2 linked regions of the Caenorhabditis elegans genome follow. The protein of the gene in region 1 interacts with the protein of each later gene in a pairwise test. Each region holds a gene or a part of one and is shown on either strand. Other genes may lie near its edges. The genes, in order: C44B9.2 and F10D11.2.

Evidence for each region.
Region 2: the proteins of C44B9.2 (region 1) and F10D11.2 interact in a two-hybrid assay, tested with the Caenorhabditis elegans proteins (one large-scale study listed by BioGRID).

Annotation. Positions count from the first base shown.
Region 1 is NC_003281.10:10,873,790-10,878,946, reverse strand, and holds C44B9.2 (Lgl_C domain-containing protein), read right to left. Parts: upstream 3,516-5,157; 5' UTR 3,489-3,515; coding exon 3,466-3,488; intron 3,411-3,465; coding exon 3,294-3,410; intron 2,530-3,293; coding exon 2,366-2,529; intron 2,313-2,365; coding exon 1,795-2,312; intron 1,740-1,794; coding exon 1,530-1,739; intron 1,062-1,529; coding exon 933-1,061; 3' UTR 705-932; downstream 1-704. Other genes in the region: C44B9.3 (C2 domain-containing protein), read left to right, coding at 4-320, 373-565; vps-50 (Vps54_N domain-containing protein), read right to left, coding at 4,419-4,676.
Region 2 is NC_003279.8:8,435,419-8,440,826, forward strand, and holds F10D11.2 (uncharacterized protein), read right to left. Parts: upstream 3,191-5,408; 5' UTR 3,169-3,190; coding exon 3,103-3,168; intron 3,033-3,102; coding exon 2,958-3,032; intron 2,910-2,957; coding exon 2,703-2,909; intron 2,579-2,702; coding exon 2,435-2,578; intron 2,391-2,434; coding exon 2,202-2,390; intron 2,157-2,201; coding exon 2,070-2,156; intron 1,716-2,069; coding exon 1,488-1,715; intron 1,443-1,487; coding exon 1,377-1,442; intron 1,171-1,376; coding exon 1,103-1,170; intron 1,055-1,102; coding exon 991-1,054; intron 935-990; coding exon 854-934; intron 808-853; coding exon 763-807; intron 715-762; coding exon 652-714; 3' UTR 540-651; downstream 1-539. Other genes in the region: dpt-1 (Dipeptidyl peptidase 3), read right to left, coding at 369-433; sod-2 (Superoxide dismutase [Mn] 1, mitochondrial), read left to right, coding at 1-157, 209-259; F10D11.3 (BAG domain-containing protein), read right to left, coding at 4,610-4,774, 4,851-4,940, 4,987-5,052.

The sequences.
Region 1 (5,157 bases):
CAGATCCAAGGTCAATGCTTCATGTCAACCGTCAAAGTTCAAGCATCCAATACAGTATGCCCATGGTGTGTAGATGATTCACAAACAACTACTACAACTACAGTAACCCCAGCACCACCATCCACCACGTTTTCTCCATTTTTCGGAACTTCGAACAACACCTCATTGCTCATCGGAATGCTCATTCTTGCGTTTTTCTCTTTGCTGGCTCTCACATCGACTACCGTACTCCTCTGTGTGTATATTAGTGATCGAAAGAAGCCTGAGTTCTTTGATATGCCATTGCCACAGGCAAATAGTACTGTACTTGGCGGGAGGAGGTAAGGAAATTCACATATTTAGATTCAAAAATCGAAAAAAATCAATTTTCAGTAGCGACACGGGCCTCTTCACCACAAAATCATCATCAGAACGTTGGACAGAATACGGATGTGAACCATGGTCATCATTCCAACCATTTAATATTGATTCAACATATAATCCACCAAGAGAGACGACATGTGTCTATAAAGTTACACATCGGGAGGACGACGAATCAAGTGATTCCGGAAATGCGTCACTATAATAATTTTTTAATTTTTTAAAATTTCTCCCAACAGTTTTCATAAAATTCTAATTTTTTTTGCCACAAAATTTAATCAGATCTCTAATTTGTATTCTTCTTGTGATATAATACTGCTCATTTGATGTATGTTCATCGTAAATTAAACTAAAATTTTTATTTTTTATGATTTATGTAATAAATAAATTACCGGCTCAGTAGCGGTTTTCTTGGCCCAATGATTCGAGGAATAATGGGATAAAAGTTAGGTGTATGCTGGAGTCTCAATGGAGAACTTAAGGGAATTAATAATACTGGGGGGGGGGGGGGGGGGAACTTGGGAAATAATAAAACAATAAAAATATTAGGAATAAAACAGACGGGGAGTTACTTATGAACATGAAAGAATGCAGCCGAATTGGTCCATGGAAATTGTACAGGTGCCGTCGGAGATCACCATACCCGAGCGGGATGTGTGAATTCGTTTCTCGCCTCGCTTCACGTAGCATTTGTCCTTGTCCTGAAAGAAAATTTATTTTTTTCGGTTTATTTTAACTTTTTTTTTCGATTTTATTGATTTTCTGTCAAAAAAATTGCAAAAAAAAGCTGGCTACGGTAATCTTAAAGGCGCACAGCGGAATATTTGCAGTCGGGTCTCATAAGGAAGTTGCTCATCCCCGGCCATGCGCCTTTAAAACTACCGTAGCCCGCCAAACATTTTTGTTAATTGTTTTCAAATGTTTTTCTTCGATTTTCTCGTTTTTCACATAATTTTTCGATTTTAAATCCGATTTTTGTCGAAATTAATAATTTTTCATCAACTTTCAGCAAAAATTCTAAGCCCAGTGCTAGTTTGAACCCAAAACTGCACAAAAAATTGGGTTTCGAACAGATTCAGGCAAATTACAGCAAAAAACTAGATTTTCATTAAAATTTGAAAACTTTTTGACCGTATATATTTTTTTTCTTAATTAAATCAATTTCTTACCTGAATAGCCATATCAATAAAAGCGCTTCTGAGCTGAGCCGTGAGAGTTGTCGCATTGACGGTAAGCTTCACTGGTTTTGCCTCCACATTCACCTCTCCCGATTGAGTGTTGTACTTGAGAAGCATCCCGTTGATATGCACAGTGAGGAGTCCATCCGGGTGCTTTTCGTATTGAGCTTGCTGCATTACAGCTTCGCACTTTTCCATATTCTGAAAGAAAAAAGAATTTAATTCAAGTTGAAAGAATGCTTTAATTTTAACTTACACTTGCTCCAAGATCAGATTCTCCATACATTTGTTGAATGGTATAATCCATATTCATGATCGGAAACTCTGGTTTCTCAAGAACCACCGCCGAAGGTCCAGATTCTTTGGCTCCACTCAAAAGATAGGCTTCTGTGAGTGAGTCCATACTGAATAGAATTCCTTCTGGTCCCATCACAGCCATTCGATCATTTGTATTCAGGAATTTGCAGTGAACATGCTCCTTTTGATGCACAATCTTTGCATATTTGTGAAGAAAACTGCAGACGGCACCATTCGAGTTGATGTAGGCCATGAAATCCGTGTTGCAGACGACACGAAAACTGCGATCCATACACAGTTCGACGATTATTCCGGCGGCCATGGATACCATCACAGTTCCTTCCTGGGAGCAAAGGAGCAGTGGATACTTGACAACACCCTGATCTGTCTTGATTCCTCTAATTGGGACTGAATTGGTTGCAAATGGCAATGGGCTGACCAGTTGGAAGAACTTTAGATTTGGATTCGGAATAGTTCCTGAACAATTTTAAGGTTACTTTTGATCTACTAGAAGACTACAAACTACTCACCTTGCCTAGAAGCAGAAGAATTTTCCTGTTTCCGAGGTGTCGACTTTCTCTGATTCTTCTTTCCACTGTTGTTGCTTCCACTTGACTGTTTCCATCCACTGAATGGAATGTGAGCTGGTGGCGATAAGTCATCGAATACCGAGTTGTTGACTCGTGGAAGACCTCTGCAAATTTTGGAAATTTTGAAAAAAAATTGGTGGTTTTAAGTAGTCTGAGCGGAATTTTGCTTTAAAAATTCCAGAAAATTTGCGAAATGTCTTGAAAAAATCGCATTTCGCCGAATTTGGAAGTTTTATGAGCAAAATTTCAAAAATATGGCCGAGAAACCCAATTTATGACGGCCATCACTCTGTTTTCCAGGATCTGAGGTGCATTTTTTCAGAATTCGCTGCGTGGCCTAGTTTTCGCATTTCACGGCCATGCAGCAATACCTGAATGCCCTTCCGGAAAAAAATAACGTGGCCGCGAAAAAGTTATCGGTGGCCTAGTTTTCTTAAAATTTCCAGATTTACACTTTTTTCTATAACTGTAATTTCTTTAATTTTTCGATAAAGCCGATTTTTCATCCATTTGTGCAGGGATGGCCTAGGTTCCGCATTTCACGGCCACGTGGCAGCCTATACAAAAACTCCAAAAATTTAGATTTCCACGTGGATTCCTGGCTTTTTCTAAAATTTTCCAGTTATTTCGCTATGAAAAAGCCAATTTTTCGGGGTTTTCTTTTCACAAATGGTGAAAAATCTGAGAGCGAAAACGTGGCCGCGAAAAAAGTAATCGGTGGCCGAACTTTCTCATTTCGCGGCCACGTGGCAAAACCTGTATTCCAGCCAGATTTTGAAGAAAATTTCCAGATTTTACTAGCATAAAGTGAAATTTCTTCACAATTTTCTGGGATTTCCTCTTAAAAAAATCCGAAAAAAAAACTAACGGCGGAAGTTCCACAGACATCACAGCGAACGGTGCCGTCGTTTTCTCCGCCATTTTGAGTTGTTGAGATGGAGCTCCCGGAGCAGCTGTTGCACGTCGTTGAGGCGTCACAGAATCTCTGAAACACGGATTTGTCAGCAGAGAGCTCACAATCAAAAAATGCTCCAACTCACCCTTTCTGGTTTCGCAACGTCATTTTGGCTTGCCGGAGATTCGTCGTACTGAATTTTCCGATTTTTTTTCGTCTCTGATTCTCTGAGTTGGACTATGTTACGTTTCGCCACGTGGCGTGCCACGTACCTTTTTTTTTTGTTAAATTTTGTGGATTAATCTTCACGTGCTTTTATTTTTTTTTGGAAAAAATAATTCAAAATTGAAAAAAATCTCGTTTTTCAAATAAAAATTTTGCGCAAAAATTGGGTCTCGTCGCGATTTATCCCTTTAAACTCTAGAAATAAAATTTGAAAATTTTGGGTCTCACCACGAAAATATGCCTACTGAAAATTTTACGAGGTCGTGGGTACGGTAGTTTTAAAGGCGCCAAAATACGGTACCAGGTCTCGACACGATGGATTTGTTTATTGCAAAAATGTGTGCGCCTTTAAAGGATACTGTAGTTTCAAACTTTCATTTTTCTGTTTATTTTTTCATAATAATGTTTTAAATTCATCAAATAAATATAATTTAATCGGAAAACTTTGAAAAATCAATAAAAATTCCTAGGAGTTTGAAACTACAGTACCCTTTAAAGGTGCACACTTTTTTAAATGAGCAAAAATTTGTCGTGTCGAGACCGTGATAAAAAATCGGGTTTTTTGTTGTATTAAAAATTTATTGATTATGAGGACAGAGATGATGACATGAAAAGATTTCAAATCAATAATTAATGCAAAAATTGGGTCTCGTCGCGATTTCTGGAACAGGATGCGCCTTTAAAACTGTGGCAGTGGGTACGGTAGTTTTAAAGGCGCAGATTCAAATTTTCCATTTTTCTCAAATTTTCAATCGCGAAAAGAACCCAATTTTTGTCGAAATTTCAATTTTCTGAAAAGAAAAAAAATGCAAAATAAATTAATAAATTAGTGACAAAATATACAATTATATCAAACTATTTCTACATAAAATTCTAGTCTTTCAAAGCGTCCAATATCCGAAGTCGGGCTTTTTTGCTCACGTGAGCTGCGGCACCGAGTAGAGAAGACAGCTGCTTTGATGAGTATTCCTGCAAAATTTCGGGAAAATAATTTATTAAATTGGAAAAACCCCGTACAGAATGCGTCTTTATCCACTGTTCTAGACCATTTTCCGGCAGATAATAGGCTTTGATGTATCCATCGACGAAACTCGCGTGAGGAACTGGCTTGATTCCGCAGAGGGGCTCCAGCTGAAAAAATACTGGAATTTTTCGGGTCTCGAAACGATTTTTCAATAATATTTTCCTAGTTTTTGGGCGGTAATTGCCCTTCGGCAAATTTTTTGTCGTAGAATTCGGCAAGTTGCCGGTTTGCCGGATGTATTCAATTCCGGCAATTTGCCGGATGTTTTCTATTCCGGAAAATTGCCGGTTTGCCGGGTGTATTCGATTCCGGAAATTTGCCGATTTGCCGATTTGCCGGTAGTTTACCATTCCGACAATTTGCCGATTTGCCGCTTTGCCAAAAGTCTTCAATTCCGGCTATTTTCCTATTTTCCGGAAGTTTACCATTCCGACAATTTGCCGATTTGCCGCTTTGCCGAAAGTCTTCAATTCCGGCAATTTGCCGATTTGTCGCTTTGCCGAAAGTCTTCAATTCGGAAATTTCCCGATTTGCCGCAAGTTTACCATTCCGACAATTTGCCGATTTGCCGATTTGCCGGATGTATTC
Region 2 (5,408 bases), on another chromosome or scaffold:
AAAGGGAAAGATCTTGAAGGTTGCCACATGTGCCAATCAGGATCCACTTGAGGCAACAACTGGACTTGTTCCACTGTTCGGAATTGACGTCTGGGAGCACGCTTACTACTTGCAGTACAAGAATGTTCGACCAGATTATGTCAATGCTATTTGGAAGGTAGTTGTCACTTTCCATCAAAATTAATATTTTTAATTTAAAATCTTTCAGATCGCCAACTGGAAGAACGTCAGCGAGCGTTTTGCAAAGGCACAGCAATAAATGAGCTGAATCACAAGAATTAATCGTCAAATGTAGCAGTAGAAGTTGACTCCCATTGTTTTGTAACTATTTTTGTTTCTTAATTATTTCGAAATGTAAATTTTCAAACCTTTTCAAATGAAAAGTTTTCACCGAAATAGCTCTTCGAAGCAGCAGGGAAACCTGTCCATTCATTGAAGTATGGCCTCTAAAAATCATGTTATATCAAAAAAAGAATGAAAAAAATAAAAAAGAAATAGTAAAAAAACTGAGAACTAAAAACTAATTCAACGATTCATATCAATTGATAAAATTTTTATTGATAAAATTCATTCATTGATATTCAAAACAAATACATGTAATTCATTTTCGGTGCAGTTATTAGGGGAATTTGAGATATATACAAATTATTTTTACAAATTTCGCAGAGTATCGCTCAGATGAGAGTCCATTTGTTGGTGAATGCGTCGGTCTTTCTGAAAAAAGTAAAGAAATAATTGATAGAAAAGAAAATAGAAACTAACATGATATTGTGGAGGTAGAAATGCTGATCGATGTAATGGTTCATGCTGAAAATATAAAAATTTGGAAATTTTTGACCTGAAATAATATTACATTTGCAACAAATGGAAGGAAACTGCTATGATGTGAGTGATCGGTGAATGAGCGAAGATCTGATTCCAGAAGAGATGGAGCCTGAAGAATACAATTTTAAAAACTAATTTTGAATAAATTTGAAAGATCAAACGTACATCAACAAGTAATTGAGAAACTCCATCAACTGCTTTCCATAAATTATTCGGATCAGTTTGGAATCTGAAAAATCAGAGAAGTTAGGATTTTGAACAGAACTTTAGTGTTTACTTGGAGTCTGTAAGAGCTGATAAACTGCTTTGAGCCTGGTGAGTTGTCGGGTCCAGTGCCGAAGAATTCTGGAAAAAATCAAAATTTAAAAGATACTCAATTGCCACCAAGAGTGTCGGTATTTCAATTTTTCACTCTAATCGAAAAATTTAGTTTTATGATATTTCAAAAAATAGCTTTAAATTTTGATCATTTTTCTTCTTTTTTTGATAAAAAGTTGAATTTTTTTGTAATTGTTTCCTCGTTTTCGATTTTTTCTGGAGAAAAAACTAACGAGAACGTATGAAGAAGCCGTGGAAAACACTGGTTGCATGAGAGTAAGGTCAAGTTCTGGAGCTCTCTGAAATAATTTATAATTATTAGAAATAGTTGAATTCCAGGATACTTGAACACATGGAACTACAATTGGTTGATAAACGTTTTCCTCAATATCGATTGAATCATTTTGTGATTGATCCAATTGTTCCATTAATTGACTAGTATCCGATGAATTTCCAATTGTTGAATGTGTTGAAAATGTTGGACCCTGATCTTGATGAGGTATTGTAGATGAAGATGATGATGTAGCTGCTTCAAGAGATGATGTAAATGTTACAGCACTTCGTTTGTATTTCTGAAATAAAGTAATTGAAAACTTTAGTTTTGGATTTTTTTGTCTGTAATAAAACAGAAAATGGCTTAAGCTCTAGAATTGGCTGAAGAAACGATAATTTAACATCTCTGTTTATATTTTTTTTCAAAATTGAAACTTGTTTTAAAGCATAAAATTTTTAAATCTTTTATTTTAAACAGTTATATTCAGTATATTGAGACTGTTTTTTGTGATTTAGGGAAAATACAACCGACACTACTCAAACTTTAAGAAATTTCGAGAATCTCAATAAATGTTAAAATTAACTTCAGGTATTAGCATTAAAAATTATGAATGGACAAGTTAATTCGCATATTTTTCGAAAGAAACACTCACCTTTGGGCGATTTCTAACTCGAAATTTGTTGTATCTCACTGTTTGTGCCGCTTCATCACGCTCCCGTTCTAATTCTTCTTCCAAAATCTGAAAATTTAATTTTTCATACCGAACTCAGATTAAAATCTATACCTTTTCATCAGCTTTCTGTACTGTCATTGTGTTTTTTAGAAAATCTCTGACAGACATTCCTGCTCCTGAATTTCCAGTTGTATCCATCTTTTCCGGAGATATTGATCGATTTCGAATCGGTGAATGAAGATTTGCAGGTTCATGTGAAATGGGAACTGGATAAACTGGCATTGGATTATTTATTGGCTGCTGAAACGGTTTTGATTGGAAAAAATATTCGAAATAACGCTTACCTGATTCACAGTAACTTCGTTTTGACCGAAAGTATCATTTTCAATTTTTTCTTCGATTTCTTCTTGAACAGGAGGATCCATGTCATCTATTGAATTATCTTCAGGTTGATGTGGACTTGTCATTCGAGGAGACGGAATACGACCCTGTAGAAAAGAAGCAAAAGTCTAATGGATATTAATAATATCTAATTTGAAACAAATGAAATATTTAAAAGAAATTATGTTCCAATGTAGATTAAGGAAAATATTGGAAAAAGTAATAACTTACCAGACATTTCTCAAGGATTAGTTTGTTCAAACTTTGCTGTGACTGAATAAACTGATGAACAACTTCCGATAAATCATCAATTTTCTTTTCAATTTCAGCTTGTTTTTCATAATGTGGAGTCATCAAATCTGCGAAAAACTGTCTTTTCTTATCGTCGCTGCCACTGGAAGTTTGGGGATTCAAAAGGTCCAATATTTGCAGATGATTCTAAAAAAAATATCGATTTTTTCGACTTTCGGAACTTTTAAAGTTTACTGTTAATGAATTCGACTCTGTAACATAGTTCGCAGCAGATGGTTGAGCAGCACTTGAGTTGAATCCCATTTGATACTGGAAAATTATCGATTTTCAATAAATACGAAAAAGGAAACTCTTGAAAATGAACAATCGAAGAACTTACAATAGTTTTATCAGAAATAGGAAAGTTCAGCTGAGGATTCATTTCAAAAACTTGTAAATCCGTCATTGATAGTTATCCTGCAAGGAATATTAGTTTAAACAAATACCAGATGAAATGTAAATTTACGATAAATAAGGCGCGTATGCGGAAATTCGGAGCTTCGTTGTAAACAAGGAAATCATTCCCGTAAATCCATCAAACTAGTTTTGAAAAACTGCTTCTACAGAATGATAATCGAACTTTTTCAATCTAAACTTGATATACAAATATAGGAAAATGTTCAATTAATTTGAAAAAAAACACTCAATTTTGGTAATTTGGCTAATTGAAGAGTATTCTACATTCTAAAAAGACCAGAAAAGAGCAGTGCAAGGTTAGGGCATCATTTACTAGCGTGCTCATTTACTTGAACGCTCAATCCCTAACGATGGCTCAATTCCTTTGACGCTCAATTACTAATGTTTTCACTTTCGTTCGTTTACTAATGAATGGCTCATATACCAGGGCTGTGCGGCAACCGGCAACCGAGTTGCCGGTTTCCGAAAAGTTGCCGAAGTTTCGGTAACCAAAAGTTGCCGGTTGCCGAAATTTTTTTTAAAAGTAATTTTGTAGTTTAAGTTAGTAAATGAAATATCAAAGTAGATGAGCCATTCATTAGTAAACGAACGAAAGTGAAAACATTAGTAATTGAGCGTCAAAGGAATTGAGCCATCGTTAGGGATTGAGCGTTCAAGTAAATGAGCACGCTAGTAAATGAGGGTTTGCCTTGACGTTGAGGGTTTGCCTTGAAGTGAGTATACTGATTTTAGTTTGAAATTTGGTATATCAGCCGTACCTGCAAAAACAAAGCACCTAAAGCACACATCACAACAACGTAATCCCTACACTAAGCCCAGCTCATCCAAAAAACTGCACCCCTACCGTACCACTCCACTACAGTCCCCCGATAATAAAGCGTTTTTCTCCATTTATTCATTAGAGTTTAGAGTTTACTCAACATACTCGGCATTTGGAGGCAACTTCCTGCCAAATTATGGCAACTTCCTGCCAAATTTTGCTTGTTTCCAACTTCCTGCCAAATTTTGGCAACTTATTTTAGTGGCACTAAATAAGTTGCCAGGTTGTTGGCAGGAAGTTGCCAAAGTGTGGCAGGAAGTTGCCTCTGAATGCCGAGTAGGCTTTCAATTGAATCAATTTTTTTAATCTAAGTTCCTATAGCACCTTCAGAATATTCCCTAGTGAAATTCAGTTTTGCGGCTGCAGCAAAAAAGGAAGTCAGATGTTAAAACAAAAAGGAAAAAATAATACATTGGAGAAAAAGCTTGCTGAAAAACTAAAATGGACGTTGAAACTTCGAATCTTGTTGAGAAAATCGCCGGCCAATCAGCGACGTTGGCCAGTTCAATTACTCATCGCTGATTGACCAAAAACAGAAAATATTAAATGAAAACTTCAGATACTCATTTATTGTCCACATAAACAAATAGACATTCTTACAACAAGTTCATTATTCTTCTTCTTTCTTTTCAGCCACCTTGTTCTCGTCCGTAATCTTGGGAGTATTCGTCATATTTGATGTGGAAATAACCTTCTGAGCAGCCGATTTCTTTTCTTTATCCAACTTTGTCTTATCCTTATTGATCTTGCGACGCTTCTTGGTACGCAAAGATCTCTTAAACAATACAATTGCTTAGGAAAAATATCCATTTCAAAATTTTATCAATAATTGATTTTAAAATTGAACTCACATCCTTTTCCAATGCATCCACCCGCCCATTCATTAGCTTATATTGCTCTCTATCTTCATTTCTCATTTGCACAATTTCTTTGTAAAGATCCTAAAACTTCCGTGTTACTCAACAAAAATAAAAATTGAAAACCTACCCGAATCTGTCCAATCAAAAGTCGAATAGACTCTCGATCATCCGGTCCTCCGACAACCATAGCCATTTTTACGAGAAGAAATACATTTTTTGATTGATGAGGGAGGGGAGGAGGACGTGAAAAAACATAGTAAAATAAGGACAAAAGCTACGTGTTGATTAATTTAATTTAAATAATTTTTAAAAATTCGAACCTTCTTAAGAAATTCAAGCGACACTTGGGAGTCTGATCCAACTGTACATCTTACAAAGAATACTGATGTTTATTTTACATTCAGACCACCCCTTTTACTGGTTTGTTTTGGAATTCATCGTCTAGTTCAGCAGCTACACCAAACATTTCCGGGGCATCCTTCAAAAAGGATATCAATTTAAAAATGCTTTGGTTCAGAAAAACTCATTAAGAGTGCCTGAAAGATGCAG